Elephas maximus indicus: one gene and its partner. The protein of the gene in region 2 binds, or shares a complex with, the protein of the main gene of each other region. Links are inferred from orthologs where the notes say so. Each region holds a gene or a part of one and is shown on either strand. Other genes may lie near its edges. The genes, in order: histone H2A.J and SCML2.

What was found.
Region 1: the proteins of SCML2 (region 2) and histone H2A.J are in contact, whole or in part, in a crystal structure (PDB 4EDU), measured with the Homo sapiens proteins. The link is inferred for Elephas maximus indicus from reciprocal best matches to the Homo sapiens genes SCML2 and H2AJ. Residues at the interface, in NP_006080.1 of Homo sapiens: Asp182, Asn185, Tyr187, Leu188, Cys190, Phe206, Trp209, Phe213, Pro239, Pro240, Gly241; in NP_808760.1 of Homo sapiens: Leu35, Arg36, Lys37, Gly38.

What each region holds. Positions count from the first base shown.
Region 1 is NC_064822.1:73,358,325-73,372,967, forward strand, and holds histone H2A.J, read left to right. Parts: upstream 1-9,085; 5' UTR 9,086-9,152; coding exon 9,153-9,542; 3' UTR 9,543-9,720; downstream 9,721-14,643. Other genes in the region: histone H4, read right to left, coding at 4,518-4,829. UniProt on the Homo sapiens protein: Core component of nucleosome. Nucleosomes wrap and compact DNA into chromatin, limiting DNA accessibility to the cellular machineries which require DNA as a template.
Region 2 is NC_064846.1:161,111,184-161,127,431, reverse strand, and holds the start of SCML2 (sex comb on midleg-like protein 2), read right to left. Parts: upstream 6,752-16,248; 5' UTR 6,682-6,751; intron 6,470-6,681; exon of another isoform or gene 6,405-6,469; intron 6,036-6,404; exon of another isoform or gene 5,899-6,035; intron 1-5,898. UniProt on the Homo sapiens protein: Putative Polycomb group (PcG) protein. PcG proteins act by forming multiprotein complexes, which are required to maintain the transcriptionally repressive state of homeotic genes throughout development.

The DNA of each region.
Region 1 (14,643 bases), on a different chromosome or scaffold from region 2:
AACAAAAAACCAGCTTGGGAACTCTTAGCTGCACATTGAAAGTTATAGGACCATGGAATGCTATCTAGACTTTTGAGTGAAAAAAGAACTACCACCTAAGAATCTGAAATAGCACCAAGATAACACTTGCCAGAGAGGGAGAAAGGAAAGACATTCATAGACTGTCTTATCTCCACAGAGTCCTGGTGGCTAAGTGGTTAAAAGATTGGCTGCTAATCAAAGGGTTCAACAGTTGGAATCCACCAGCTGCTCCTAGAAAACCCTATGGGGCAGTTCTACTCTGTCCTATAGGGTCACTAGGGGTCAGAATCAACTCAACTGCCATGGGTTTGGTTTGTTTTTTTTGGTTCTTACCCCGATACCTCATCTAAGGAAAATTCTTCAGAAAGGACTCTACTAAAAAATAAATCAGAACAGGGGCTTCAAAATAAGGGACGATGAAGAATAAAGAGAAGTGAGCAATGATTCATGCAATGTGTGTATAATTAAGTCCAAGTGCATAATAAATACAGTGCCTGGGAATTTGTGATGTAAATGCTAAATATTCTTGAAATAAAAGAGACACTGCAAGAGAAATCATAATAATGGCCTATAATTAAAGTGCTAAATAATCTCAGCAATTCTTTGGGAGTTGACAGTGGAGATACAGAAATGAAGAAAAGTATTTAACAGGTTTCAAATTGAGGGTAAGGGTGGAAAGTGAAGAAGTAAATGTATCCTGAAAGTCTCTACTTTCCGAGGTAGGGGAAACAGTGAGGAGAGTTAGTGGGCAAAAGCTAGTATTTTATAGAAGAGTAAAGAAATATAGTTTGAAAGAGATGTCGAGACAGAAGGCAATGGCTAATAAAGTAAAAAAAAAAAAAAATACAGAATTGCTTCTAAATTAACAAACAAGAAAAAGAGAATACATTTTCTACTGGTTAGGTACTGCTTTTGGGCTATTAGTAACAGAGGCCTGAAATGACAGGAGCTTAAACAGGATAAAAGCTTATTCTTCCCTCAAGTATAGTATGTCCAAAGGTAGACTAGCCAAGGCTGACACAGTGGCTTTATAATTGCATCAATGTTCAGGCTTCCTTTTATCTTTTTGTTCCAATACCCTTAACATTTGACTTCAATCTTCAGTCCCATCTCATGAGTGCTACAGGCCATTATTACTTCTACCTTCCAAGCAGAAAAAGAGGAAGAGGGAACTACAAAATTTCTTTCATCTCAGCTACTCCCACTTTTAGGAAGGTTACCTAGAAGCCCCATTCAACAAATCTACCCATATACCACAGAACTCAGCCACATGGCCACTCCTGTCAGCATTCAGAAAACAAACAAACTTGGTGCCATCGAGTCGGTTCCGACTCATAGTGACCCTATAGGACACAGAAGAACTGTCCCATATGGTTTCCAAGCACTGCCTGGTGGATTCAAACTGCTGACCTTTTGGTTAGCAGCCATAGCTCTTAACCACCACACCACCAAGGTTTCCCTGTCAGCATCAAAGCCTGGGAAATACAATTTTTTACCAAATGCATAACCTTGTCCAACAAAATCTGAGTTCCGATATCGAGAGCCGAGGGGAGAATGGTAATAAGTGGGTTACCAGCAGTGTTTGTTACAAAGGGTGTTTTGATAAAACCAGTAGAAATAAGAAAAAGAAAGAAAAACAGAAAAAGTAATATGCAAGGAACAAAATCATGTTTAGATTTATTGAACTAAATATGAAGGGACTGAATTTTCCTATTAAAAGATGAAAAGTGTCAGATTAAGTAAAAACAAAACACTGTATGTTGCTTAGAAACAATTATAACTAAATAATTTTATAAAAAGATTAAGCAGCGCCTTCCTTCAGCTTTTTCATATTATCCTTCAGTGAGTAAACAAGAATTTGGAGTCAGTGATAATGAGGATGATGCCGAAATGTAGATATTTAATTAAAATATATAAAGTATCTCCTTTTTATATTTATTATGGAAAATTCAACAGTTTAGTAAATTATAGGGTTAATATAACTTATCTCTAAAATAATTTGTTTTATCACATTTCATAGGTCTCATAAAAATGTAATATTCCAAGACTTGTAGAACATTTATTGATACATATTTTTTATAATCTTCAAGATTACAAAGCTTCTGCTTGTATTTACCCAAATTTACTCACTCTTTCAACAAATATTAAGGCATAGGAGTGTACCAGACTCTGCTCTTTAAGTATCTTCGTTTCTCACGTGTATTAAATAAATTGGAGTTTCTGGCACTGTCTCACTGTCCTAAAAACTGAATTAACACAGTGTCATGAATAACCTTTGGTCTATATGGAATATAAAGGAGTCCTGGTAGTGCAGTGGTTAAGCGTTTGGCTGCTAACCCAAAGGTTGGTGGTTTGAAACCACCAGCCACTTCAAGAGGGGAGAGATGTGGCAGTCTGCTTCCATAAAGATTACAGTTTTGCAAACCCTATGAGACAGTTCTACTGTGTCCTATAGGGTCGCTAAGAGTCGGAACGAACTCAAAAGGTTTGGTTTTGGTTTATATGGAATAGAAGAAAGTACTTAGAAGCGAAATGCCAGCAAACAGGAACAAGAGCCTCCATGCCAGAAGCAGTGGAGTATAGTGGTTAGGGTTAATGCAAGGACTGCAGAAAATAACAGGGCTCTGTTCAAACCCTGGCTCCAGATCTTTAATCCTCTTATCAGCTTCCTCATCTGTCAAGTGGAAATTAATAAGTACTTCATAATTTTGCCAGAGAATCAAATGCAATGGAATACAATGTGTTTCAACGTGCCTGACACACAGTTACGAAAAAATCCGTGGCCCATAGGGTTTCCAAGGAGCAGCTTGGTGGATTCCAACTGCCGACTTTTTGGTTAGCTGCCGAGCTCTTAACCACTGTGCCACCAGGGTACCCGCACACAATAAGCACTCAATAAACAGCAGCCATTACCAGTATAATGACAGAGACCGGTTGAGGGAACACAAGAAACTTTTCTCTGGTTAGAAAACATTTGATGTCAAAAAACTAGGACATTCTCACAATGAGACTTGCACTGCTGTTTTTAAGGCTGGGACCCTAGCATACCCTAGCATAGTAACTTCACGATGTTTACAAAAGCCAGAATTGGAGTGATTAGTTAATCCTACAACGGATTGCACCGCAATTTAAGGTTCTAAGTCCTTTTCTCAATTGTCTCGTACAAAGAGGTTAGGTGCGACAGAGCCAGGAGTAGAGCAAAGCCAATCATGCCGACTATGGTTCTTGCTTCACCTCACTGGTGTCCCCTGGCGGCCTCGGGGAAGCGCCCTCAAGTGGCTGCCTCCGCGCCCCATTTTACTCAGGTCTCCGGGCAGCCCCGCCGCAGGATCACTGGGCAGCAACCTGCGACTGCACAGCTCTCTTGCCCACACCATGTTCACTGAATTTACTAGGAGCAACACCACGGCCCACCTCCCTTCTAGAGGCCCGCCGGCAGCTATGAAAATAGCCTTTACTCGGAAACCAGGGCTTATTTCCCGGCTGCAAGAGGGTCATTTAAGACTCCGTCTCCTGGGTTGCTAGCAGCACTGCCTTAATGATGGGCAGAGCGCCACCCTGAGCAGGGGCCTCCCAGCTGTTAAGTTTCTCGCCGTGGTACATGGCGAAGTGCAGGTAGAGAGGATCCTTCTTTTCTTGCCATCGAGCCGCGCTGCCCGCCAACACCAGGGTCTCCGCTATCGGGAACGCTGGCGCCCAGACGCATATCCACTGGCGCAGCAGCCTTTGCGCAGCTGGCCCACCAGGAACTGCGGGAGCCCGCGAGCTCTCACCTGGCCTTGGACTTCGCCTGCACTTAGCTGCCTTGCTTCCCGCGTCTAGATTTGCTCATCTCTCATTCAAAACATAAGCGAAGAAACAATATATTCCACAGTCGGTAGGAGACTACACCACGCCACATTAAGACTGCATTTAGTGTTTTATGATTTGTCTGTAGAGGTGTTTTCCTATTGGAGGCTGTGACATCCCTGGCTCCGGTGTCTCACTGGAGAAGAACCGCCTCCTGACGCGTAGCCTTTCCCTCGAATTGGAAGTGGAAGTTGGCTAGTCCTAATTTACATAGAAGCCACTATGTAAGGAGGTGCTCCACTGCGTAAAGGATGGTTACTATTTCTAAATCTGTGGATTCAGTAAGTGGAGATGATCTATTCCCCTAGACAGGATCTAAAGACAGAGCCTGGCGTCTGTATTTTGATGTACAAAAAAAAGCAGAGTCACTACTGCACTGCACCGCACTTCCAAGCTATGACGCTGGGAGCCAGGACTGCTGCATTCACGCCTTTTCTCCCCAGCTCCAAACCCAAGAGGAAGCAACCCCTGTAAATTTCGACAGTAAATCTTCTGTCGATGGTAACCGGAACGCTGCATGTATACCACGTTTCTGCATTCACCACATGCATATACTTGCAGGGTAAATACATTACAACTCTTTTTTTGAAATTGTGGGGGCCCTAAAAAGGGCCTTTTGGAGTCTGGACGAAAGCCGCTAACACACCTCAGCCTCCGAAGCCGTACAGGGTACGGCCCTGGCGCTTCAAAGCGTATACCACATCCATAGCCGTGACTGTCTTGCGCTTGGCGTGCTCAGTGTAAGTCACTGAATCACGGATCACATTCTCCAGAAAGACTTTGAGCACACCCCGAGTTTCCTCGTAGATGAGCCCGGAGATGCGCTTGACACCGCCGCGGCGAGCGAGACGCCGAATGGCAGGCTTCGTAATTCCCTGAATGTTGTCCCGCAAGACTTTACGGTGGCGCTTGGCACCTCCTTTCCCCAGGCCTTTTCCACCTTTGCCGCGACCCGACATTTCTAGCAGTAACTACCTACCTACGTCCAAAACCGAAGGCCACTGCAAGAAAATGAGCCGCTAACCTGGATTTATAGTCCCTTGTAGCGGACCTGTTTGGAAACCTCAAAAAAGTGGGTGGAGCTCTCCGCCCCACCTCCGGAGACTTTTTTTTTTCCCTACAATTGATTGATTCGTTTCTATCTTGCACAGTTAGTTCAGTAAGCAATAGGCAGTAAGCAAAACCAGACTGATTTTTTGTGTCTTTCTCGAAAAAACTTTCTGATATTTTTTACCATAAATTTGAAGAAAGGCACAATAGGGTAACGTTTAGAAAAAATGAGCTTGTAGTAGAACTTTTATATTGGCTTTTCTCAACGCTTAAAAAATTATGTAGGCCAGATCCCCTGCTTTTTCTAATTGTATATTTTTTCAAAAGGAATTCTTAGTACCGTTCGCGGACTAACGTGAAAATCAAGGTATAGGAGCAAAGGACGCGTTACATCTTATTATATGTCAGAGCGATTACAGCCTCCCACTCTTAGGTCTTTGTTTTTAGTCATTGGTGGGGGAGAGGAAACGTTTTAATGGGTCTTTTTTTTTTTTTTTTTTTCCTCTTTGTGGCCCTACGGGGAAATTTAATAAGAATTATTTCAGTAGGTCCAGCCTTACTCAGCTTATTCCTGCCTCGTCCCTTTCCTCTGGGCAATTTGCAGATTTTTCTGGCTTTTCTCCCTTTGAAGCTTGTATTTGCCTTTCAACCAAATAGCTCTATGATTTAACTGATTTTTTTTTTTTCAGTCCAATTCGAGATTGTCAACTTCCATTTAAAAATGTTAAGTTATTTTAAAATAACAGATGCCACACTTGTGGTTTCGAATAGTGCCATACTGCAAATCCCAATCAGGAAGCTCTAACCAGTTTCTTGAAGAGAATTCCTGGGGTGGGGTCGTGGGGGGGTGGGGGGGACGGATCACTGCTCTTGGGAGTTTCTTTTTTAAATAATTTTATTGTGCTTTAAGTGCAAGTTTACAAATCAAATCAGTCTCTCACATATAAACTTACATACCCCTTACTCCATACTCCCACTTACTCTCCCCCTAATGAGTCAGCCTGCTTCCTCCTTCCAGTCTCTCCTTTCGTGCCAATTTTGCCAGTTTCTAACCCTCTCTACCCTCCTACCCTCCTATCTCCTCTCCAGACAGGAGATGCCAACACAGTCTCAAGTGTCCACCTGATACAAGTAGCTCACTCTTCATCAGCCTCTCTCTCCAACCCATTGTCCAGTCCCTTCCATGTCTGATGAGTTGTCTTCGGGAATGGTTCCTGTCCTGGGCCAACAGAAGGTTTGAGACCATGATGCCGGGATTCCTCTAGTCTCAGTCAGACCATTAAGTCTGGTCTTTTTATGAGAATTTGGGGTCTGCATCCCACTGTTCTCTTGCTCCCTTAGGGGTTCTCTGTTGTGTTTCCTGTCAGGGCAGTCATCAGTTGTGGCCTGGCACCGTCTAGTTCTTCTGGTGTCAGGATGATGTGAGCCTCTAGTTCATGTGGCTCTTTCTGTCTCTTGGGCTCATAGTTATCGTGTGACCTTGGTGTTCTTCATTCTCCTTTGATCCAGGTGGGTTGAGACCAATTGATGCATCTTAGATGGCCGCTTGTTAGCATTTAAGAATCTTGGGAGTTTTTATTGCACTAAAAAGCAGCACTACTTAGAAGTTAATTCATAATTTTTCCCCAGGTACTTAACATCTTCAAGAATATTTTAGTAAATTGGGCTCTCTGCTGCTAGTTTTGAAAGATGAGCCTTTCCAGCAGGAAAGCTTTGTGGAAAATGTTTACACATATAAATGCTTACAGTTTGCCCTTCTTTCAATCCTGCCCATCTCCATAAACCAAAAAGTACTTTTTTGTTAAAGATGAATTAAAAGAGCCCCAGGAACACTTTGTATGGCTGAAAAAAAAAAAAAAATCTTGAATAGTCAAACTGTATTACATGATTTTAATCCTTGATTCAGAATGAAAAAAAAGTATCACATCTCGAAGAGATCAGGATTCTTGTAACAGTAAAACAGGCTGATTTATTTGTATTTACTTTTCTTCAAAGTTAACATCAGAATATTTTCAAGTTAGAAATCCTTCTTGCTTACACGAGTGAAAGGAAAAATCATTCCCAAAATAATAATAAACAACTCTCTGTTAAGAATTTTCCAGGATATAGGCAAAAATGTAAGTCCGCTCACAGAACTCATTCCAGGAATATCTTTTTAAAAACCGCAGGAGAGGTTTGTATGTTAATTTATCCAGTATAACTAAGTCATTGGATGTTTACTAATGTACTTAACCTTCAGACGGCTTTAGGACGTGGAAAGGTTAAATAATTTATCCAGGTCAGCTGGTAAGTGGTAGAGTCAGGTTTTGAACCCAGGCAGTCTGGCTCCAGGATGACTGCCTTAACCATTACAACACACTGCTCTTCTGCTTCAAAGACATTTACTGAGTTTCTACCATGGGTTAATCATCGAGTGTCCTTAGGCACTAAGGACATACGCATAAAAATTGAAAATGTTATTTCAAGGAAATCAAATCTGTATTAAGATAGCGAAAAGGTAATTTTGTTTCACTTTTGATTTGAATACCCAGACCCACTGCCGTGGAGTGGATTCCGACTCATAGCGGACCCCATAGGACAGAGTAGAACTGCCCCATAGAGTTTCCAAGGAGGGCCTGGTGGAATGGAACTGCCGACTTTTTGGTTTGCAGCCGCAGCACTTAAGCACTATGCCACCAGGGTTTCCTTAAATTTGAATGGATACTATAATTCAAACAAAATTATTTCAATAAGTAAATGTTTAACATTACATCACGTCAGCAGTATAATTGTATAATTGTGAAAAACCCCCCAAGAAACCAAACCCAGTGCCCTCGAGTCGATTCCCACTCATGGCGACCCTACAGGACAGCATAGAGCTGTCCCATAGAGTTTCCAAGAAGTGTCTGGCGGATTTGAGCTGCCAACCCTTTGGTTAGCAGCCATAGCACTTAACCACTATGCCACCAGGATTTCCAATTGTGAAAAACATTGAGGTAAAAGAAACGTTAGTAGAAAGTAATTTCTGGATAAAGAAATCAGTTTGCTATGAATTTGCAATTTAAGTATATAAGGACAGTTGCTGCCGTTTTTTACTTTAGTCTTTTCACGAGTTCTGAGCGCCACAAGGGCTATAAGGGAACAGGGGAAGGAGAACACCAAAGGCCCTGGAAAGTTTTCAGTGACAGTATCTGCTGAGCCGCCCTGACCTACACAGGGCAAGCCCAACCCAAGACTTTCAGCCTCAGCGCCTGAGTTGCACCTGAGGCCTCTCACTGGAATCCAAAGACTCTTTTCAGGCCCATACCTCAAAGAAAAAAGATGGTAAGTTTTGGCCAGGCGATTTTGTTCCTGCTGCTTGTGCAGAAAGCGTTCATGTCTAGTCTAGCATTGTAGTTTGGGAGACCTTAGAAGTGAAGATGGGCAGCCTGAGAGCTGCAGAACTTTGAGGGGAGGCCAGTGTCAGCCAGTCTAGTTAAGAAAGTTCAAAATGCCAGTTATTGACGAAACCTTTTTTGGAGGCCTGCTCCCCACGCTGTTTGGCTAACAGGGGCCGATTAGGTTTGGCAGGAACAAGGCTCTTATGTAAAGGAACAGGCAACCTAACCTGTATTAAAAAAAAAAAAAAAAATTTTTTTTTTTTTTATTATTAGGCAGACTGAATTCGGTAGGGAGATTGTGATTTCGCTTGAGGAGAGTACTGCCTCCAAGAAGCGCGGTGTGGAGTTACCTAACTACCTTGCTGTATGCTGACTTGAATGAGAAAATGCAACTAGGGAGCATAGCAACGTCTACCGCTCTGTGCGACCTCAACTGCTTGAGCACTTGTACTTATGGATGCAGTAGCTCTTCTTCGGGATTCTTCTATTTTCAACCATGCTTCCTTAGTTCTTTAGTCTTTTTTCCTGGGAGCGAGCGTGGATGCTGAAACCTCAGTACCTATTAAAACCAACAGGCTTGCAGACACCCAGCATTTGGGTCCTGAACGTTCATATGGGCGGCTATGTAAATAAGGACTAGAAGATTCCTCTTTCTATTGGACAGAGCTGGAGAAGGCGGCTAATTGGGAGCGGAGCCTGCCTGCCTGTCATTGGTCACCGGAGCCGAGTATTGGCGGCGCCCAATGGGAGCTGGCTGCCTAGTGGTAGCAAAAAAAAGTAAAGGAAGTTCCGGGGTGGCGCGCTGCATTCTCGTATCCGGAACGAGAGCGCTGTCTTTTCCTTCCTTCCTGGAGTTTTAGGTGCGAGGGGAGCATGTCCGGTCGCGGAAAGCAGGGCGGCAAAGTGCGGGCAAAGGCCAAGTCCCGGTCCTCCCGCGCGGGCCTGCAGTTCCCGGTGGGCCGAGTGCACAGGCTGCTGCGCAAAGGGAACTACGCGGAGCGAGTAGGCGCTGGGGCGCCCGTGTACCTGGCGGCGGTGTTGGAGTACCTGACGGCGGAGATCCTAGAGTTGGCCGGCAACGCCGCGCGTGACAACAAGAAAACCAGGATAATCCCTCGCCACCTACAGCTAGCCATTCGCAACGACGAGGAGCTAAACAAGCTGCTGGGGAAAGTGACCATCGCTCAGGGCGGCGTCCTGCCCAACATCCAGGCCGTGCTGCTGCCCAAGAAGACGGAGAGTCAGAAGACGAAGAGCAAGTGACCCCAGCGCTACCATGGGGGAGCAAAGGGGGCTGGCTTCCCCAGCAAAGGCTCTTTTCGCGTCCGCCCGCAGTGTCTTTGGATGTGCTGGGTGTTAAGAAGAGTTGGCGCGATCTAGTGGGGAGGTGGGAGGCGAGGACCCTGCCCGGGTCGGGGACCAATAAAGTCGGTGAAAATCATGTGGTCGAGAGAGCTGTGTAGTCGTGGGGCGGCCGGGAAACCTTTAGAGCAGGTAATGGTGGGTCGGCCTGATCCACCCACTGGCTGCTTTGGTTCGCAGGTGACCCTTGAGGCGTTATGGCTTGGTAAGGGAGACCAGAAGGACCCACTGGCCTGGAGGTGGGCAGGGTAGGGCTCTCCTTGTTCATCTTAAGGCAAAAGAGAGGCAGAAATAGGTGTGCATTCGGGGAGTGGGGGCGGGGAATGGGGTGGGTGCATTATTATTATGCTCCCTGGCCAGAGCTTTCGCTGTCCTGTGTGTCTGTGGGTTGGTTGTTCAGGATCCATTTCTAGGAAGGGAACCAAGGGGCCGATCCGATCTCGGGGAAGAAGTTGTTTCTTCTGCCATTCTCACCCTCCATACTTTTCAAAAGGTGGAGTGATTTTTCTGCCTTCACAGGGTGGCTCTGATGACGTGGTATCAATTTAAGAAAATTTTCTTAGCCTGATAGCTGTGGCGTTTTCAGGTTTTGGATTTCAGATACTTACGTTTGGTTCACGTTTCTTTAAAATGAAGAAAATATTCAGTAGTAGTATGTGTAATGCAGAAGCCTGAGTCATTCGGTTGGAAATTCGTTCCCCTGGTATTCATGTTGCATAACAGTGCAGCATCTGTAGTCCTGAGTTACATAGCCTGTGAGCTTTTAAAATGATGTTCGCAAGTTTCTAACTTCACTGTGGTCTTGTCTTCATCATATCAAATTTCTCTAGACATGTAATCGGTTTGATTTTGCTTTGTAAGAAAAAGAATCCCTTGCTTTAAGGGGTTAGTACTCAACACATAGCCTTCTTGAAATCCCATATGTTCCACCCCTGCTTGAAGTAATGACCTCTTTCCAACAATGCCTCTATAAGAGTTCCATGGTTCACAGGCACGGCATTGGTTTAATATGTGAGGAGAACAGGAGGCCGAATGAGTTAACTACAGGGAAAAATGCATTTCAGATCAGGAATCCACATTTAGAAGTTAAGACACTAGCAATCCTATTCTGCCCCTGGTTGGTAGTTCATTTCACCTGCTCAGCAAGCTCCATCCTTGCCCACAGGGCCAGTAAAAAAAGATCCCAGTTTAGATTTCATGTGTTTGGGTTCATTTTTCCTATGAGTTAGGGTTGAAGTCTCTTTGCAAAATATATATACATATATACTTATATATGTATATGTATGCTTTGGTTTTTTGTTTTTTATGTATGCTATATCTTCAGCCCTCAGCACTTACCTGCCTCAAGGTTCAATCAGCCTCTTACCATTTCTATTTTTGAGGATTGTTCTTTTCACCTGGTTAATTTCTTTGCAGTTGAAAATGCATACTTTCTACAAAATCAGTTCATCTTGTGATCTTTGATGAACAAACGGGTAATTCTTGTCATGTAACATTGTTCATTTACAAGGCCAGTATTTCTTTGAGTGTGAGACCACATGGAAGAAGACGTAGGACTAATAAATGATGAATACTGAATTCTGATTTTCAGTAGATTTATGAATCCATAGTTTTATTTACATACGTAGGCACCCCTTCCTGTGGAGGTAAGCCATTCAGCACGGCAGACTCTAACTTGGTCAGGATTTGTTTGATCTGTTTTTCCTGCGGGACCGGTCTTGCCTTTGTGTCTCGGAAAACGGGTCTGCTCAGTTTTCTCTACTTGGAATCACAGGGTTTGCCAGGCTCCACCATTAGTGATGACTGGCATACTATATGCAAACTCCTTACAAAGTAGTACTGAAAGTATAGGGCATCCCACCCCTTCTAATTGTTAAGAGGCTTCGACATGGTGCACAAGAGGTCCAGCTGGGTTCTCTGCTCCTTAATAGTTGTGAAATTACGGAAAAGTGATTCAACCTCTTTAAACTTGTTTCATATATATAATGGGTATAATAATAGAGTTTACCTCAGATGGTTTTAGGGAGGATTCAATGAGATGCTGTAAACGAGGGCACTAAGTTTCCTGTGTAGAAAAGTTCAGTTAGTAGTTGTTAGCTTCTGTAGGGGTTCTGGTGGCTCAGTTGTTAAATGTTTGGCAGCTAACAAAAGGTTGGCAGTTTGAATCCACCGGGAGCTTGTTGGAAACCCTGAGGGGCAGTTGTACTCTGTCCTATAGGGTCGCTATGAGTCGGAATCCACTCCATGGCAATGGGTCTGTAGAGTTGGCGTCAACAAATGCCAACTTTATGTATAACAGAAAAAAATGTTGCTCGGTCCTGTGCCATCGTCATGATTAAAACTGGATTTAGAGTGAGTAGCAGTAGTTATGGAAAGTGCTGAAATAGTAAGCATATGGCGTTCTAGGAGTCCTGTGACCTTTGTGATAATAAACCATAAAAATAAGTCTGGTGACTTTTTTTTACTAATTACAGGCAATTCACAATCTATAACAGAAAAGGGTAATAAATGGTTATAGCTTGTGAACTTGAATTTGCATTTTTCCTCCGAAGACACCTGGTTTGAAGTTAATGCCTTCTTAAGTGCACCCACTCAGATTAGAAATGGAACCTGTATGTTCCACAATTGATTGGATGTATATTATGTGTTACACTTGTGACTAGTAACCAGCTGTCAAGAAACTCAAGTCTAATGTGGAATACAGACTCTGAAAGATGATTAAATGTAACAGGCTATGTGTAAAGAAAGATACTCAGGGTGTTATAGGAACCGGTATTAGGGGCACCTGTGTCACTCAGCCTGGTGGGGACACTGGTGGGGGGAGTGACACCTGAAATGGGTCTAGGAGTAAAAGCCTGACAGGATGGGTATTCTGGGTAGACAGGCAGCCAGTGCACAGGGCTTGGGATGGGGAGTTGGGGGGATGGGGAGCCAGGTAGGGGAAAGTCAAAAACAATACCCACAGCTGGATGTGTGTCTGAATCTAGGGGGGAAGGTCAGGCCTAGAGATCAGGATTTGGGAGTCATGATTAAAAATAGCCAGATAAAATCATCCAGAAAGAATGTGTAGAATGAAAATAGCCACAGCTGAAGAGACTGAGGGTCTTCAAGATTTAAGCGATGGTGGAGGGAGAGGACTCCCAAGGACGATGAGAGAGGGAGAGGACTCAGGCTGAAGGACACTGAGAGAGTGTCAAGGAGTTTTGCGGTTACATATTCATAAAACAAACACAGGAAATTTAGAATCTTTAAATCGTGAGAAATTTGATTTGACCCTGACCTTTTTTTTTTTTTTTTTTGTAAATCAGTTAATGTTTAGTTTCCCAAGAGACAGAAACAGAGAGGAACAATAATTAAATAAATACAAATGTGCATCTATAAATACATACATAAATAAAAGGAAGCAAGCTTCAGGCAAATATGAAATTATCACCGTAAGCCTTATTTTCTCTGCAAGGAGAAGAAAGAAAGTTCCAGGTGTAGAAAAACAGGTTTTAACCTTACATATACAAAAGAGGAATGACAGGTTTAGACAGTAACTTGGGTCCTTGATAAATTTATCAAGCCATTCAGTTGAAAAGCTAGCACTTAGTAATCCTTGAATTATGGAAACAAAGGAAGAATGAGTCCTATGTTAAAGAAAATCTGTCTTTTAGGCAGACAAGACAATCTGCATATGAGGGCTTCTTTGCTTCCTGTTTTAAAGTACTTCTTAAATGAACTATCTTGTTCACGTCAAAAGCCCCCCAAATGCCACTGCAATTCCAAATTGTTCCAGGTGAAATTGTGCTTATCAGAGAGGCAAGCGTACAGGTTAGTGTTATAATGAGACAATATGAAGGAAGTAGTGTTTGGCCTTGAAGAGTCTCGATTTTAGATTTTGAAGACTGGGAGAAATTAAATGGCCTGTAAAGATGGTGCTTCTGTAACTTCTAATCTTCAGAATTTGTCATCACTGATCATTGAGCGGAAACCCTGGCAGCATAGTGGTTAAGAGCTATGGCTGCTAACCAAGAGGTCAGCAGTTCAAATCCACCAGGCACTCCTTAGAAACCGTATGAGGCAGTTCTCTGTCCTACAGCGTCGCTATGAGTTGGAATGGACTCGATGGCAACGAGTTGGATCATTGAGCTTGAGTAAACCTTTTGGTTCCCGGTAGATGAAATTAAACAGACTAGTTCTCAGGGACACAAAGACTGAAGGAGACGGTTTGGAAGTAGTGACTGGAAGCAAGGTTTGGCCTAAGTTGCTGGCTCAGGGAGACCCGAACTCCTCAACCCCCAGGGGGCAGTTTTTATCTGACCTGTGTCCATCTACTCTCCCTATAGACTTTCCCTCTTATAGACAACACTCTGGCATTAGACAAGTTGACAGGCCATAGGAGCAGGGGATAGAGGCTAAAAGCAATTTTTAAAAGAACAGCACAAATCTGATCAGGTAACCAAAAAGATCCCAAGAGATCTTATTCCTGGAGAAACAAAATAAGCTCAACACTAAAGTGCTTCAACATATAGGAACTCAATTGAACAAGTTGAGTTTACTGCTTTTTGCAGCAAGGGAGAACACAGCATGGAGAAGTGTGGGGTGTCTCAGACAGTGTTAGAAATGACTTAGAGGATTTGGGTATGCATGTGTCGATTTTGGGACTTTACTGTGGATTACATGCTGTCAGGAAGTAGGGCAAGTTTATGACAACATCTTAATAAATCTTAACTACAAGGCACAAGGAATGAAGTGACACTAAAGCTGTAATTGGTAAATACGTTAATGCATATTAGCAAGGAGAGGAGACTGTTGGGTCATTTTTGTGGTTTGGACAATGCTCAGGTTTTGTTTAGGCTTGATTACAGAGTGACGTTTCTTTTTTATTTTGACCTTTCACATTCCGAGTGACCTCGTCTGCTGTTGGTGTTCTCTGTAATTTTTTTGTGGTCAGCAGAACACCATAGCATACTTCTGATTGTCAGGCGGACTCTTAGCAACACCGAGGCCTAGCTGGTAG
Region 2 (16,248 bases):
CTGACATTCAACACCCGTTAATCCTTCTGCGAAAGAGGTCAAGAAAAATCAAACGGGTATTCTATAGGCAAGAAGCAAAGAAAGTCCTACCAACTTTTCCCTGAGAAAAGAAAGCATCCTCAAGGCATGCCCTAGAATTGCAATATATCTATCCCTTCCGAAGTTTACAATGGCACGTTACCACAAGAGGTGGGCACTTTCTTTCCGCTCTTACAACAATTTGCGCCTATAAACTTAGGAAGGCGGAGAGCCACAGCCATAAACACAGGTCACAAGTAGTAGGTAGTCAAATGCTCTCTATCTTTAAATGTTTTCCAGCTCTTTACTCAAACGAAAACTCAACAAGCTTATCCTAGTATTTCACTCTTGGTAAAATAAGGAATTCATCTAGCCTATTTTTTTTTAAGTCAGATGAGCACAATATAAAGTGGAATGGCACCATCACATAAACTGTATATGAGCCTCAAATCTTTCACTTTTCACACAATAAGCTATCCTCATTTCTTATTTTAAAACCTTTCCATCATTTGCCCAAAAGAATAAAAGTAAGAGAAAGGCTTAGGGATATATATTTAGTATAAATCACTTGGCATAAAAACCTCGAGTATTATTTCTTTCTAAGGTGGCCAAGGTTTACTTATATTAGACAATATAAAGACAAAATAAGTAAAATGCTTTATTCATGAAAACCAAAGAATATATGCACATTTTCAAGTCTTAGATGGCTTCTGAAATTTTCTCAAGTTCTCCTACTTTAAGAACCACCACCTCTGTTCTCTTTTTTAAATGAGATGTTATCGCTACAGCAAAGGCATAGCTATGCTTAGTTACCAAAGCCAAAGCTAGTTAGAGCCTGGAGAACTTAACCAGCAAAATATACCAGCCAATTTTAATCTAATATAAACAGCAGCGGTTTCTTTCATTTATTCCCCAAGATAAAGGGATCATAAATAATAAGACCCCCAAACCAGGGAAGAGTAAACTCTTTCTTTCAAAATCACCATCATTTGCCATTTTCGAAGTTTCCAGGTTTTTGATTCCTGGAATCAACAATCACTTGAAATTGTGAGCTACTCTGAGGTAGTAATTCTCAGACATTAATAATGTTTCTAAAAATCTCAGGAGTGCTTGATTTGCTCACTCCAAAGGAGCACAAAATATTTCTTGGCAATGCCAGACTAATCTTTGCACCATAGCCTCGAGGCTCTAACTTTGAGGGCTGGCAGAACTCACTTTGTTCACATGTTGTATATCCTAAAAATCAGGAATATGACTCTGAGGAGACAATGAGGCTCCCAGGGAGGCGGAACTAATAGAGAAGGTGACTTCAGATTTCTAGTCACAACTGGAATGAGAAGAGAGCTGGCATAATGGGGAAAAAGCGGCAGACAGGGTAATCTGGCAAAAAAGGACTAGAGGTGACTAATAATTCAAATAGCACAGGATCACCAACATCCATGGGTATTCCAGTTACTAAACTTAACTGGTTAACAGTCATTTCTACTAACCCAAAGATAAATATGCAAGGCCACCCACCACCCACCCACCAGGAGCTCCAACTGAAATTGGAACTTGAATCTTCCTTAAACTGAACATACATATGCCGTTTTCATTCAAAAGACTTGGTATTTACTCAGCCTTTTCAAGGCACTTTACCATCATCAGTTATTTCACAGTGAGGCAGCACAGGATTACCCTGACCATTTCACTGATGCGGAAACAGACACCAACAGCAAAGGGAACAGGGGCAGGAAGAGGGGCGATAGGAAGCATCTGGGAGGAACAGGCAGGCAACTAAAAAGGAACAAACCCAAAAGAAAATGAGAGTCACATCTGGCTTATGGCTGACAATCATAACCCTTATTTGTTATTTTTGAGTTCAGAGAGATTTCTGACACATTTTGAAAAAAAGAGCTCTAAAAAATTCAGTCAGTCAAAATCTAGTTACATTGTAAAATCCTTAGTCATAGGAAATAAAGTTGCTTAGCATTAAAAAACAGCCACTCTCCAGGATACATACTTGTTTCAATTTATACCAGTAACTCATTTTCCCTCTCTAGGGTAAACAATATGTTATCTATTTGTCCCAGAAAATAAGCTCTCGTTAAAATGTATAGCTTTATATAATCAGAACAAATAAGGCACAAAGTTAACATTAGACAAGTCAGAAGTAATTTACAGTAACATCTAGAATTTTGTTTAGAGAATTATGACAAAAATACTGACTCGTTGAGTTTGTCTTTTAAATGTTCCAGTCTTATTCATTTTCTTAGCTGTAACCTTAAATTTTTTAGGAATAAACTACTGGGTGGGAAGCCTTAAACACCCAGAAACTAGCGCTGTGCCGAGCACACAGTAGTCTCTGATTAAATGTACTCTGAACTGCAATGAGCCCCGTACTATAGACAGTACAGGCACTTAATAAAGATGTGTTGATTGAACAATAAATCAAAAGGACTGACCAGCTGCCTCATGAGAAAAACTGATACCACCTCTTTAAAACTGACTCCAATGTTCTTTGTACTTATTATGACATCAGCTTTAAAGCATCCTCGTATATAAAGCAGTTCAATGACATTCATCTTTTTTTCCAAAATACCATTTCCAAAACAAATCAGGTTCTCTGGGGGAAACAGACATACACTCTTAAGAAGTTTGTAAGTTTGCATGATTAAAAAATTTCAAAGCCATTTTAAATAGTGTTTGCCTTTGTTCTGGGTTTTTTTTTTTTTTAATTCTATCGGACTGTTTTGGAGGTTATAAATAAAGCAATGCAAAACGAATACAAGGCATCAGGTGAGTGTTCATAAGCACACTCCTTTCTCAAAAATCTCAATTGGATATGGCATCATTAATATAACATTAGGTTGCATTATAGAAAGTGATTATGTTACATTACATCTGAGGGTATAGGGGTTAGGATTCCAACACACATGGGGGGGGCACAATTCAATCCATATCAGTTTATAACCAAGACTTAAAAAAGGGACTCAAACAGATATTTGTACACCGATGTTCATGGCAGCATTATTCACAATAACCAAAAGGTGGAAACAACCCAAGTGTCCGTCAATGGATGAACGGATAACAAAATGTGGTATAAACCTACAATGGAATATAAAGAGAACTGAATATGCAGCCATAAAGAGAAATGACGTTCTGATACATACTATGACATGGGTGAACCTTAAAACATTATGCTGAGTGAAATGCTGGACACAAAAAGACAACTTTTGTATGATCCCACTATCTAGAACAGGCAAATGCATAGAGAAAAAAAGTCTATTAGTGGTTTACTAAGGAATGGGGGGAATGGGAAGTTATTGCTGAAGGGTTCTGAGTTTGTTTGGGGTGATAAAAAAAACTTCTGGAAATGGATAGTGGTGATGGTTGCACAACATGGTGAATGTAACTAATATCACTGAATTGTACACTTAAAAATCATTAAAATGGAAGATTTTTCATCATATATATTTGACCACAATACAAAAGGAGGGGACATGAATAAAGAGGCACTCCAAACTTCTTACATCTTCTTGGGTAGATATGCTATTTTAGGCTATTTCTCTCATTAAGAAGGGACCCCATTCCTTAACTCCCACCTCTATCTCACCCTTTAACTGGGAGGGGATATTGGTTTTCTGATTAAATAATGGTATCACACCTTCGCAATGAAATTGAGCAAAGTGCAGTCACCATAGAGCTCTATCTTTTGCCTCCAACTTTGAATCTAAGTTGTGTCTCCCACTCTAGAGAAGACTGATTACTGACTGTCCAGTCCTTCTTTTAAAAATTGTCTTCTGTAGGCCAAGTATTACATGGTACCTCCACATTGCTCCACATCTCTGCTATATATGTCTCAATCAGTTATTTTGTACTCGCAGAATGCACAAAGGTACACATAGGTGTGCATGTCCTTTTCTTAAATTGTAATTTTCTTTTCTCCTAAACAAGTCAAAGCAACAACAACAAAAAATCCCAACTGGACTCCTGTCCAAAAGTTTCTTTTCACATTCCTCCCATTAAATATACAAAACCACAAACAACCTGAAAGAAAATTCGGCCTTGGAAATACCTTGTTTAATGAGTAAGTAACAAAAGGAATGGCAAGGAAGGCAAAATTGTCATTATTAAAGAACATTCCCAACTATCATTATCGAAAAAAATTAAATGTGCATTTATGAAGTATTATTACAACATAATTTCTTGTTATAGGTAGTTGTACTCCATAAATGTTGCCTTTTTATAATACCTGCTTCCTGAAAACGTAAATATTAATAGCTCTGGGGGCATTAAAAATGTAGTAGTATCTACAGTTCTTTCGGGGAAGAAAGCGATCCTCGGTAAGTTGTTAAGTCTTATGATCATAAGCAAGTTACTGACTTTCCCTTGCCTCAGTTTCCTCCCTACTAACCGACCCATTCCCTTTCTAGAGATATTGTCCTAAGCTCACAGGCACATCTTAAATATTAATCTTCTAAGTCTTCAAATTAGAGGCCAATTTCTAAGGGTAATCATACTTTGGGATGTATGGCAAACGTTTTACAACCTTTTAAAAAGAAATCAATGGTCCTCAATGGGAACTTGGAAAGAAATACCTGTACATCCCAAACATATTTAAAAAAAGAGGCTGAATTACAGCTGAGCACCTGAAGCTAAGTATAACCTCGACACACAAATCCGTAAAATTGGAAAAGCCGTTCTCCATCTGGCTCTAAACAAACCAATGCTGTTTTTGTTGTTGTGTGCCATGAGTGGATGCTGACTCATGGGGACCCCACAGAAGAGAGTAGAACTGCCCCCATAGGGTTTCCTAGGCTGTGAATCTTCACAGGAGCGGAGTCCGCGGGTGGGTTGCAACCTTTCAGCTAACAGACAGCTCTTAACCACTGCGCCACCAGGGCTCCTTTCACAAAGCACTACCAAAAAACCAAAACCAAACCCACTGTCGTCGAGCCAATTCCGACTCACAGCGACCCTAAAGGACAGAGTAGAACTGCCCCATAGGGTTTCCAAGCCTGGTGGACTCGAACTGCCGACCTTAAGGTGAGCAGCCATAGCACTTAACCACTACGCCACCAAGGTCACAAACAACTAGTCCCATGAAAAAGTGCGAAAGGTGTGTAACCATGCGGCAGCTGTTTCTAAATGAGGGCAGCGACGGTCCACGAACTCGGCCCCGCCGGCCGCGAGGGAACGGCGACCTCTGGCGCCTCGCAGCTTCTCCGGAGAATCGGCACCCTCTTCCCGCCCCCACGCGGGGCGCGCCCTCCTCTCCCTCCCGCTTCCCCCGGGGAGCGAGACACAGGCACCCCCACCCCGGGAGCCCGGGCCGAGTCCTGGGTTCGCACCTGGCATCGCGACCCGGCCCGCGCTCCGCCGCAAGCGCATCCTTCCGGGCTGACATTTCCCTCCCAAACTCCAAAAGTTGTCTCACGAGTCCCCGGAAGGGGCCCAGGACAGCCTCTGCCGAGAGCCCGCAAAGGCATCCCCGCTCCGCAGCCCAGGCCGCCCCCCGCGCAGCCGGGGCCCGAGCCCGGTCCCTCCCACCCGGGCCGAAGGGATGCCCAGTGGGGCGCTGTCCGCGCTCGGGGACAGGGGCCGCCGCAAAACCGCCGCAGGCGGGATGGGCCCGCGCCCAGCGACAGGAGCCCCGGGAGGACCTGAGGGGCGGCGCGGAGCGGCCGAGGGGCGCCCGCCGAGAGCACTACGAGGGCCGGGGGCGAGCCCAGCCCCGGGGAGGAGACCGCGCAGGGTGGGCCGAGGGGCTGCGGGGCCGAGCTGCAGCGGGACCCCCGCGGGGCGGCGAGGGGGCGTTGCTCGCGCGGGACGCGCCGCCGAGGACGCCCCGCCGCCCGCCCACAGACAACGGCCAGGGCCCGGGCACCGCAGCTCTACCTCTCTGCTCCTCTCGGAGCCCGGAGTCGCCACGCACCTCGGCTCTAGTCGGCCCGAGGAACGAAATTGTCACAGCGGTCGCGCGAGCCGGTACCGGGCTTCACACCGCCGCCGCCATATTTGAGAAGCCGCGCGCGGAGCCGCGCATGCCCCGCAACCGCCACCGCCGCCCCGCCCCCGCCTGCCCGGCTGGCCCGCGTGCCCTGCGGTGGCCGCGAGCACGCCCTGCGACCGCCACCGCGTGCCGAGCCTCGGCCGGAAGCCCTGGGCCGAGCGGCCCGCCGCCCGCGGCAAAGTCCCTGCGGGCGCCTCTGGGCGCGGGCGGCGGGCCGGGGAAGTCCTCGGCATTCTTCCCTCGTCTCCCCGCCCCCCCCCGAAGCCAGTCACAGTCCTTGTATCCCAGACCGTGGTGAGCCCCCGAGCGGGACGCCGGGGTCCGCGTTAAGTGTCCATCCCGGGAGCTCGCTCCCCTTCGCCATCGCCTTCGACTCCCGGCCACCACCCACCCTGGCCACGCATCCAAAAAGCAAAGCCAGCGCTTTCCTGGGAACTCATCCTGCAAGTTCGATGAGCAGGAAAAAGCAGTGCGTTAAGGCAGCCAGAGCAAAGCCACTCCTTCGTGAGCTGCAGCAGATTCCTTGAGACAACTTTTTTTCCATGGGTTTTTGCCACGCATTCCCCTCCCAGCTCCATTTTCTGGCTTTAGTCGTGCCTCTAAACCCAGACTGGAGCTAACGGGAACTGGAGATTGACCCACGGAGAGGAAACAAATTGCTCACTTACTTGAGGGTGCTCGGGAGCGTCCTCCAGAGTCCCTTTTGGAGTCCCCTCTGCCCGATCCCCCCTCGCCCCGGGAGGGGAAGGAACTAGGTTCCGAGGCCAGTTGCGCAGGTGAAGATCGCACGGATGGGGAGGAGGTGTAAAAGTAGCCCTATAAGGGCCCACGAATCTCTCAGCACAAAATGTAGTAAACAGAAAATGGAAGAAAAACAGCCCGTCCCTCGCTGTGAGGTTGAGTATACCTAAGCGGATTTAAAACTTTTATTTCAAAACAATACAATATGCTGTGTATGACTGGCAGGCCTGCTCTTTCTCTCTTCAGCGCTTTGAAAAGTTGGGCGTAAGTTTTACATCAATGATCTTGTTAACTTAATACATAGGGCATGATGTACTTTTAAAATCAAAATTCAGAAATCAGAACCTGAAAAGTTTTTTTAAAATCCGCGGAATATATCCATTTTTAACAGTGCCAAATAAAATGATTTTCATATGCAACTTTTGCGGTATTAAAAGCCAAATGCCTTTTATTGTATCTAAACATTGGCAAATAGCGCAAAATCCAATTGCTCTGATTTTCTTGAATCCTCTAAAACATGAATAAATCCATGTTAATGCAAAATTCAAGTAAACAGGCAAAAATAGAAAAAACTAGGCCAATGATATGCAAATATTAAAGAGAGATTTGATCATATCAATTATGTAATACATATCACGTAGAAAATGTTGAAATGGTCTAAGATGAAGGTTTGATTTTTTTTTTAAACCAGAAAGATAACGTCAGGGTTTTAATCTACACAAGCCCTTAGTATGGGCAACAGTGGGCTGAGGGGACTAATTAAGAATTTAAGTCCCCTCAGCCCACTGTTGCCCATACTAAGGTGCAGTAGTTAAAAGCTTGACTGCAGTTCCAATCCACCAGCAGCTCCTGGGAAACCCTAGGGGGCAGTTCTACCCTGTTCTCTACCCTGTTCTATAGGGTTGCTATGAGTCGGAATCGACTCCAAGGCAACGGGTTTGGTCTTTCTGATGAGGAGCCCTGGTGTTGCAGTGGTTAAGAGCTCAGCTGCTGACCAAAAGGTTGGCAGTACCAACCCAAAAGCTGCGGTAAAGATGTGGCAGTCGGCTTGCAGTTGGCTTCAGTAAAGACTACAGCCTTAGAAACCCTGTGGGGCAGTTCTCTTCTGTCCTATAAGGTCACTATGAGTCAGAATGGACACAGTGGGTTTTGTTTTTTGGTTTGGTCTTTCTAATTCTAATGCAAAGAAAATATTTGAGGTTCATCTCTACATTCTCTATATGAAACATTTGGGTTATTGCTTTTTACCTCTTTTACATGCAGGTATGTACCCCGTTATTAAATTGTAGAAATACTCTGATTGCAAAATTGCCCCTGTCACTGATGCTCTGATGCCTCCTCTACTTCCCATGTTCCTGTTTTTATTATGAAATGACTGAAGCCCTCGCTCTAAAAATGTAACCTGAATTCTCTGTGTAAGAACAATATCTTCTCAGTGGCTGCCTTCACCAAAGCATTTATAAAAGTGGAACTCTTTCATATATATTAAATATGAGTTGTTGATAATGATAACAATAGCTGCCATTTAATGAACACCTACCATGTGCGGCAAATCATGCTAGTCTCTTTATATAAATAATTTCCAACAGTCACAATGTTCCTATGAGGTAGGTATTCTTATTCCCATTTTGCAGGTGAGGAGCTTGATTATTACAGAACAAACAAGTGGCAGAGTCAGCTTTTGAACATATAATTGAACCCTTCTTTATCTGTGCCATGCTTGTGTTCAGTCTTCTGCTTTTATCATATACTGTGTACATAAACATTCAATAATAACTCTAATTTACTTATATTCTGCTTTTCCCCCTTTGCCAAAAATAAATTTGAGACTGTTTTTTGTTAATGTCAGGAGAGATCATAATAACATCCCTGTTCCATTATTTGGAAATATCTTGTACATGGTAGGAATTTGATAAATATTTGTTGAATGAATGAATGAATACCTATCATTATGATGTTCAATTAATTTAGCCTAGAGAACGTGAAAATAAGGGGAGCCTTTGGACTGAAAGAGTAAGGAGTAAGGTTGGTAAAATCCAAATTTTCGTGACTGATTTTTCATGCCTCAGATTTATTCCTGTCAATTTGCTCCTGGAGTTTCCTGACTCGGCCAAAAACCAGGACAGGCTTGAAGAAGACATATCACCCTTCCCAGTCCAAGCCTGATGCAAAATACTCCTGTCTCTCAAGTGTATTTGATTGCTCCCTTTTGTACCTTTCTTTAGAGTTTCATATTAGTCAATCAGAATGGAAAGATTAGCTCCTTTCCTGGATAAGCAAGTTTAATGTAGTCCTCCATCCAGACAGGGCTTTTCTTGAAACAATGTTATTTGCATAGTTAAAGTTAACATTTTATCATTAGCGAAGGCTCCCTCTAGTTTTCCGACTTCCTGAGAGATACTTTCTCCTAAACACAGAAGCCTACGACTGGCAGAGAAAATCCACATAGTAAAAAAAGTAGGTATTAAATAATCAATGAATTGATTAAAACAGTAGCTAGATTTACAAACGTCTTCAGATCTTTGCTTCTTACAAATTGCCTTCCCCCCCCCATTAAACCAAGAGCACATATCAGTAAGATTTAAATTAGTATCGCTATTGTTGGTTACAATAAACCTTTTTTTGCCCTAACATCAAAATAATAATTCCCCTGGAAAAATACTGAGAGGCGAAATTTGTAATATTAAGAAAGAGCAGCTAGTCTAAACAGGAAAGCAATGTATTGTAGTGAAAGCAGGACCCAACTGCCTCAGGAGAGCTGAGCTCTTGTCTTGAATTCCAAGTCTGCCTAACTATATTTCTTTAGAGTCTTTCCATGCCTCAGCTTTTTCATCTTTAAAATGGGGATAATCTGTCACACTTACTTCACAGATGAGCAAGTGCTATTCAAATCTAACTAAAAGAAAACCACTTGATCTTTCCTCAACAAATCCCTGCACTTTTTTTAAAAACATATATTAGTTTTTTACCAAGCAAACAAATGAAATCTAAGTTGACTTTGGCCAAGCCAAGTATTTCATATGCTGCAAAAACTGGCATAACTTCAATGAACATTACATACTGCGCTTGACCATTATTACATTCACTCAGCCCTTCATTTAAACCCCAGACGTTTAATGAATACCTGTTGGGTGTTGCTTTTCTGCTAGAGGCGGGGATAGTAAGACGAATAAGACAATTTGAATATGCAAGGAGTTTACACCAGCTCCAAAGAGGAGAGAGAGAGATATGACTAGAGAGATGGATGGATTGATGGATGGATGGATGGATGGGTGGATGGGTGGTTGGGTAGGTAGGTGGGTGTTTTCATCTTCCAAGGACCTAGGATCTCTTGCCACACCCTCAATCACATCAAGCATTTTAAAAAGTAGCCATATAAAATAATATGAGTGGAGCTGCAGTTGGCCAGCTGACATAATGTTCTTTGGACATTTATTAGTTTTGATTTTACAGTTTTTATGCTGGTGATTCTCCATTAGAACCTTCACCCCTTCCACACCTTTCGCCTCACTCTGTCCTGTGGCAGGGATTGGGAGTGGGGGGTGAGAAGGGGGCTGACCCTCAAGGAGTGCATCACCCTGGCTCTTTGGCCAACTGGTTTGGCCAAAGGGCCTGCAACAGCTGGAGAGATGGGAATCCAGGGGAGAGAGAGGGAGGCGTATTTCTTCCCCACTCCCTTCCTGCCTAGGACTGAAGTTGGGCCGGTGGCAGGGTCCTCTACAAAGATAGTTCCTGGCAGGGTCTCTTCCTTCCCAGCATCAGTTCTCACTGGGTCTTCAGGATGGAGGGGTGGGGGTAGCAATTCCAGCTGTTACTGATCCCTGGGCTCCTTCAGCATCCCTTGTTAGTTCTCTTAAACTTCCCACACCTTAGTAAGTAATCCATGAAATTCTGTTCAAAATCCCATATGAGTGCACCTTTTGTTCCTACTGGAACCATTATTGAAATGGCTTTCTTTTCATATTTGAGCCAATCAACTAAGGGTGTAGGTAGGGGTCTCAAATATTTTTGTCACTCCTTTGAGAATTCATGGACCTGAGGGACTGTGTCTATAGCACCTAACGGTTTCACAGCCTGTCATCTATAAACAAGTCACTATAATACTGTGAGCTAAAAGTTGATAAAATTAACTTAGAGTTAATGTCTAAAAGTGAAGGATACAGAAAATAATGTTTGGTTAATAATCAGCCTTCCACAATCATTAGTTCCCCGTGTGCTTATTTCTTAAGAGGCCTAAAGAAGTGGCGTTTGAACTGAGAAGTGAGAAATTGTGGAGTTTGCCAAGCAAATATGGAAGCTCGTGAGGAAAGGCATTTACACAAATTAATGAAAAGTCACTGCATGGTCTTTGAAAAGTGAAAGATTCACTGTGCTGAAAACAAATAAGAAGGGGTCGATTTAGAGAGGACTTTGTATGCCATGCTAAGGTATTTGAACTCCATTCTGTGGATGATGGGGAGCCATTGAAGGCTCTCAAGCAGAAAAGAAGCTGTAGATAAAGTTGCAAATCCTAGCAATCCCTCTAGCTGCTGCTGTAGCTTCTAGGGCTCTCTTTCCTTCTCCTAATGGACCCCTGGCTTCTGCAGTGGCGGGGCAGGCACTGACAGGAGGCCACTGGTCCTGCAACAACAGCCCTGGAGAGTGTGGGCAGGAGTGGACAGAGGCTGGAAGCAGTCAGAGCAGTCTGGAGTCCATGGTCACAGGGAGAGTGATGAGGGCCAGAGCCAGACAGTGGGCCAGCTGGGAGAACAATTCCACAAGGCCATCTCAATAAGTATGGCTTCATTTTCTCTTTCCTCAATTGAGGTTTAACCTATATACCATAAAATGCACAAGTCATAAATGTACAGCTCAATTAATTTTTACATATGTATACACCTGTCATGGATTGAGTTATGTCCCCTCAAAAATGTGTGTATCAACTTGGTAAGGCCATGATTCCCAGTATCGTATGGTTGTCTTCCATTTTGTGATTGTAATTTTACGTTGAGAGGATTGGGGGGGGATTGTAACCCCACCCTTACTCAGGTCTTCTCTTCGATCCAAGGTAAAGGGAGTTTCCCTGGGGTGTGGCCTGCACCACCTTTTATCTCTAAAGAGATGAAAGAGAAGCAAGCAGAGCTGGGGACCTCATACAACCAAGAAAGCAGCACTAGGAGCAGAGCCCGTCCTCTGGACCCGGGGTCCCTGCGTCTGAGAAGCTCCTAAACCACGGGAAGATTGAGGACAAGGACCTTCCTCCAGAGCCGACGCCCTGAATTTGGACTTGTAACCTACTCCCAATCCCAACTAGACTGTGAGAAAATGAATTTCTTTTTGGTAAAGCCATCCACTTTTGGTATTTCTGTTATGGCAGCACTAGATGACTAACACAATATCCATGTACCCACACCTATATCAAGGTATAGATATTTCCAGCATGCCAGAAAATTCCATTTGATGCCTCCCAGTCAAGGCCCCTGGACCCTTCACTGTGCCCCTGTCCCCCACCCCACACAGGTAACCACTATAAATTAGTTTTGCCAGTTCGTGGACATCTTACAAATGGATTCATACAGTTATGTTCCCTGAGTGGATAAATTCAAATATAATCAAATATCCACTTTTTTCCTGACACTGACTATGAGGGTATAAGAAATCCCTGCTTTTTACTTCTGTTCTACTTCTGACACCAGCTGCCCGTGCACCACTTCTTCCTCTGATCCTAACCACCTGGAGCTAGGTCAGACCTCACAAGTTAAAGGGCACAGTCCTCCAGACTGCCAGTTCTGCCCAAGACCACAGATGCCAGCCACAAGCTTGGTTGTCCACATGACCTCCACACTTCTGACTTCCTGGCTACAAGTGTGGGGGAGTTCCCACTACCCCTTCAGGATGCCAGCTGCAAGCTCTGGGGTTCCCAGCCCCCTTGCTTCTGACCTGCTGGCTCCCACTGAAAAAAAAAAAAAAAAAAAAAAAACCCAGTGCCGTCGAGTCAATTCTGACTCATGGCGACCCTATAACCACTACTCCTTCAATTCACTAGAACAATTCAGCATTCGCGGAAAGTGCTATGTTTAACAATTATAGTTTTATTACAGCAAAAAGGATACAAATGAATAGACACATGGGGTGAGGTCTAGGAGAGTCCCCAGCGTGGAGCTTCCATGTCCCAAAAAGGGACCTGCTCCTCTCCCACATGCATGGATGTGTTTCACCAACTAGGAAGCCTGGAACTTCTATGTCCAGAGCCTTTATTAGGGCCTCATTACGTAGGCATGACTAGGGTCTCGTGTAGCTTTGATGATTGAATTATGCATCCCACCAAGGCCAGCCAAGATCAGGCCACCTGGTGGTCTTTGTGGCCTGGCCGGTCCACCACCGGCCCCCCTCGGTTGCACAGACCCTCAGGTGTTGTCTGGAGGTCTTAGATAATAAAGTCATCTCAATTATTCAGGAAATCCCAAGTGTTGTCTCTCAGGGACCAAAGACAAAGGCCACATGACATTATGTAAGGTAATTAATCCTTCACCTCACATTCCCTTTGGTGTCTGGCTTCTTTTACTTTGCTTTAAATCTCTGAGATTCATTCCTGTTTGTGAACCATCACCCTCATTCTTAGCAAACATTGCAGACGACTTCACTGTACCGCTCTCTCACAATCTGTTCTTTTTGATTAAAGCTGTTTTATCTTCCAATTATTTTCTCCTCCTCCTTGCAATGAATCTCTCTAATTAAGGCTGTAGTTCAGCCTCCAATTATATTAAATCTTGGTCATCTTGATAATGAGAGCTTTACTTTTTATTCAAAGTCCAGGGCAGGTTTTACTTCTCACCTGTGTGGGATACTGTTAGGTATACCATTGACCCTTTTCCCCTTTTGGGTTCTCTGTCTAAATACAAATTTGTAAACCAACATGGTGATTGGGAAAGCAAACCTATTTAGAGGCTCTTTAAATCCCATTTACTCTATAGATTTGGGCAGTTCGGTTTTGTCATTTGCCTCTGCCTCAGTAAAAACAAACAAACAAACAAAATAAAACAAACAACCAAGAGAAATTGATTGGAAAAGTAGAAAGTCACACTAAAATACACATAATGAAAACGGGGCAATGGCATCTGACAGAAGGAAGAAGAGCGTGAGTTCAAGAGAACTAGGAAATGGGAGGAACAGAAGTAAAAGGGTAGGTAGAAGTGGTCACCTGCCTAGCCTTGAAAGATCAAGGTGAGTTGGAACTTAAAAGATGGGAAAAAGCACTTTTTGCCCTGTGGAGCATGGAATGTTCTTTACTCTTTGACTGGTTCAATTCAGTGTCTTTCTGCCCCTTTGCTCGCAGAAGCATAACTGGAGTATGGCAGGTACAGCAGGTATTGCACTGGCCCTAGGCGCATGGTGCCACTGAGCAGTTTCTATCAACCCAGTATGGTCTGCAGTGTATCTGCAGAAAATGGCGCCTATGGCAAGCACTGATATTGCACCCCTGCCCAACCATCTGACACCTCTCTTTTAGATATCTTTACCATAATGTCAGCTCAAAATACAAGTCAAGCTTGTTAATCTTTTAATTAACACATTACCATGTTCGAGGAAGGACGTTGGGCCATATTGGGTTAACAGAAAGTGCATAGTGGCACCATGCACCCAGGGTAGTTGAATATCCTAGATATGCCTCTGATAATGTCTGCTGGTTTACATCTTGCACTTCTTTGGGACCTCACACTATTCGCTTCCCCATTGAGCCCCTGTCTTCCCTGGACTGGGGCTCTTAGGCCTCCCATCTCAGCTCCAGCTTGAAGAGTGGCCTCTCTCACTTTAGTCCTGATAATATTTTCACTCAGGCTGTGTCACCACCCTTGGTGGTTTCTCATTTTGTGTTAACAGCTGCTGATATTCAGTGCCTAGATCCATTAGTTCAGTGGTTCTCTAAGGGCGATCCCCAGACCAACAGCATCAGTATCACCTGGGAACTTGTCAAAAATGCAAATTCTTGGGCCACCACCCAGACCTACTGAAACAGAAACCCTAAGGTAGGGTCCAGCAATCTGTGTTTTTAACAAGTCCTCCAGGTGAGTCTGGTGCAAGTTAAAGTTTGAGAACCACTGCTGTTAGTTCAGGGGCCCTGATGGCACAGTGGCTAATGTGCTCGGCTGCTAATCTACAGGTTGGTGGTTTGAACCCACCAGCCTCTCTGCAGGAGAAAGTTGTGTCAGTCTGCTTCTGTAAAGATTTACAGACTTGGAAACCCTATGGGGCAGTTCTACTCTGTCCTACAGGGTCGCTATGAGTTGGAATCGACTTGACAGCAGTGGGTTTGATTTTGGTTTGGGTTTTATCATGGGGGGCCTGGGTTCAATTTGACTCTGCTCTTTTCTGGGATTGTGATTGAATTAAAGTGTACTGAACTCTAGAAGTGAATGGGGAGCAGTCCCACCAGCCCAAAGCACCTCCGGGGCCAGTTGAGACTGCCCGTCTAAAGCCAGCACCTGACATCGTAATGCATCTGCATGACACTCAGTGCCCATCCATTCCTCATTCGGGCAGGAAAGTGTTCACTGAAACCACTACTGAGCCAGGGCCTGTGCCAGATGCATTCAGTGTGCAGACAAATAAACAAGCAATTTTGGTTGTCAGTGCTATCAATGAAGGGAACACATTGATCATAGGCACAAATAGGCTTTCACTTGTTGAATAAATAAACTCTTATGGGTTTATGTAGATGAATGAAAAATAGTCCTTCATTCAGAATTCTCTAAACTTTGAATACAGAACACAGTGAAATTAGACGAGCAAACGTGAAATTTACTTAGCATTTTCCTCCCTTAAAGAAGTTGTTTAGCTTCTAGTTTTTGGAAAATTCCAACAAACTCTTCTTCATACCTCAACCTCCCAGCATGTTGTCTTTCCAAACCTTGCCTGTAGGCATCTAGAGAGGGGGTCAGTCAGCCACATGGTCTAAGGACCAGGGTCCAGCTGACCTTGAATACATAGTACCCTCAATGGCTTCTCTCTCCCCTCCCATGGTGGGGACCATCAGCCTAGGTGCCTGAGAAAAGAAGGTAAAAAGTTGAGGTTTTGTGGGGTGCTTTGTGCAAACCCTCAGGGTGCAAACCTTTTTTATTATATAGTGTCAGTTAGGAAAGGGGGAAAAAAAAACCAAAATACACCAAGCCTAAGTCCGCAAACTTCCAAAGTACAACACAACACATTAAAGGGTTAGTGTCATGAACAATCAGGTCCTTGTCGTCTGCCCATTTGCTGCCCAGTTTCCACAAATAACAAGCAAGCTCTAGATTTTCATAAAACATTTTGGCAGTTCATGGTGGGCCAGCTGTCTGGTGGGCTCTCTAAGGAAATGACTGCAGACTTTTTTTGTATGAACAACCTTAAGTATTTTAAATCCCTGGCAAAATGAGTTGCCAGTGGTCCTAAATATGTCTTACTGTTTCTGAATTATGAGTCGGAATCAACTCAACAGCACTGAGTTTGGTTTTTTTTGTTTTGTTTCTGAATTGGAC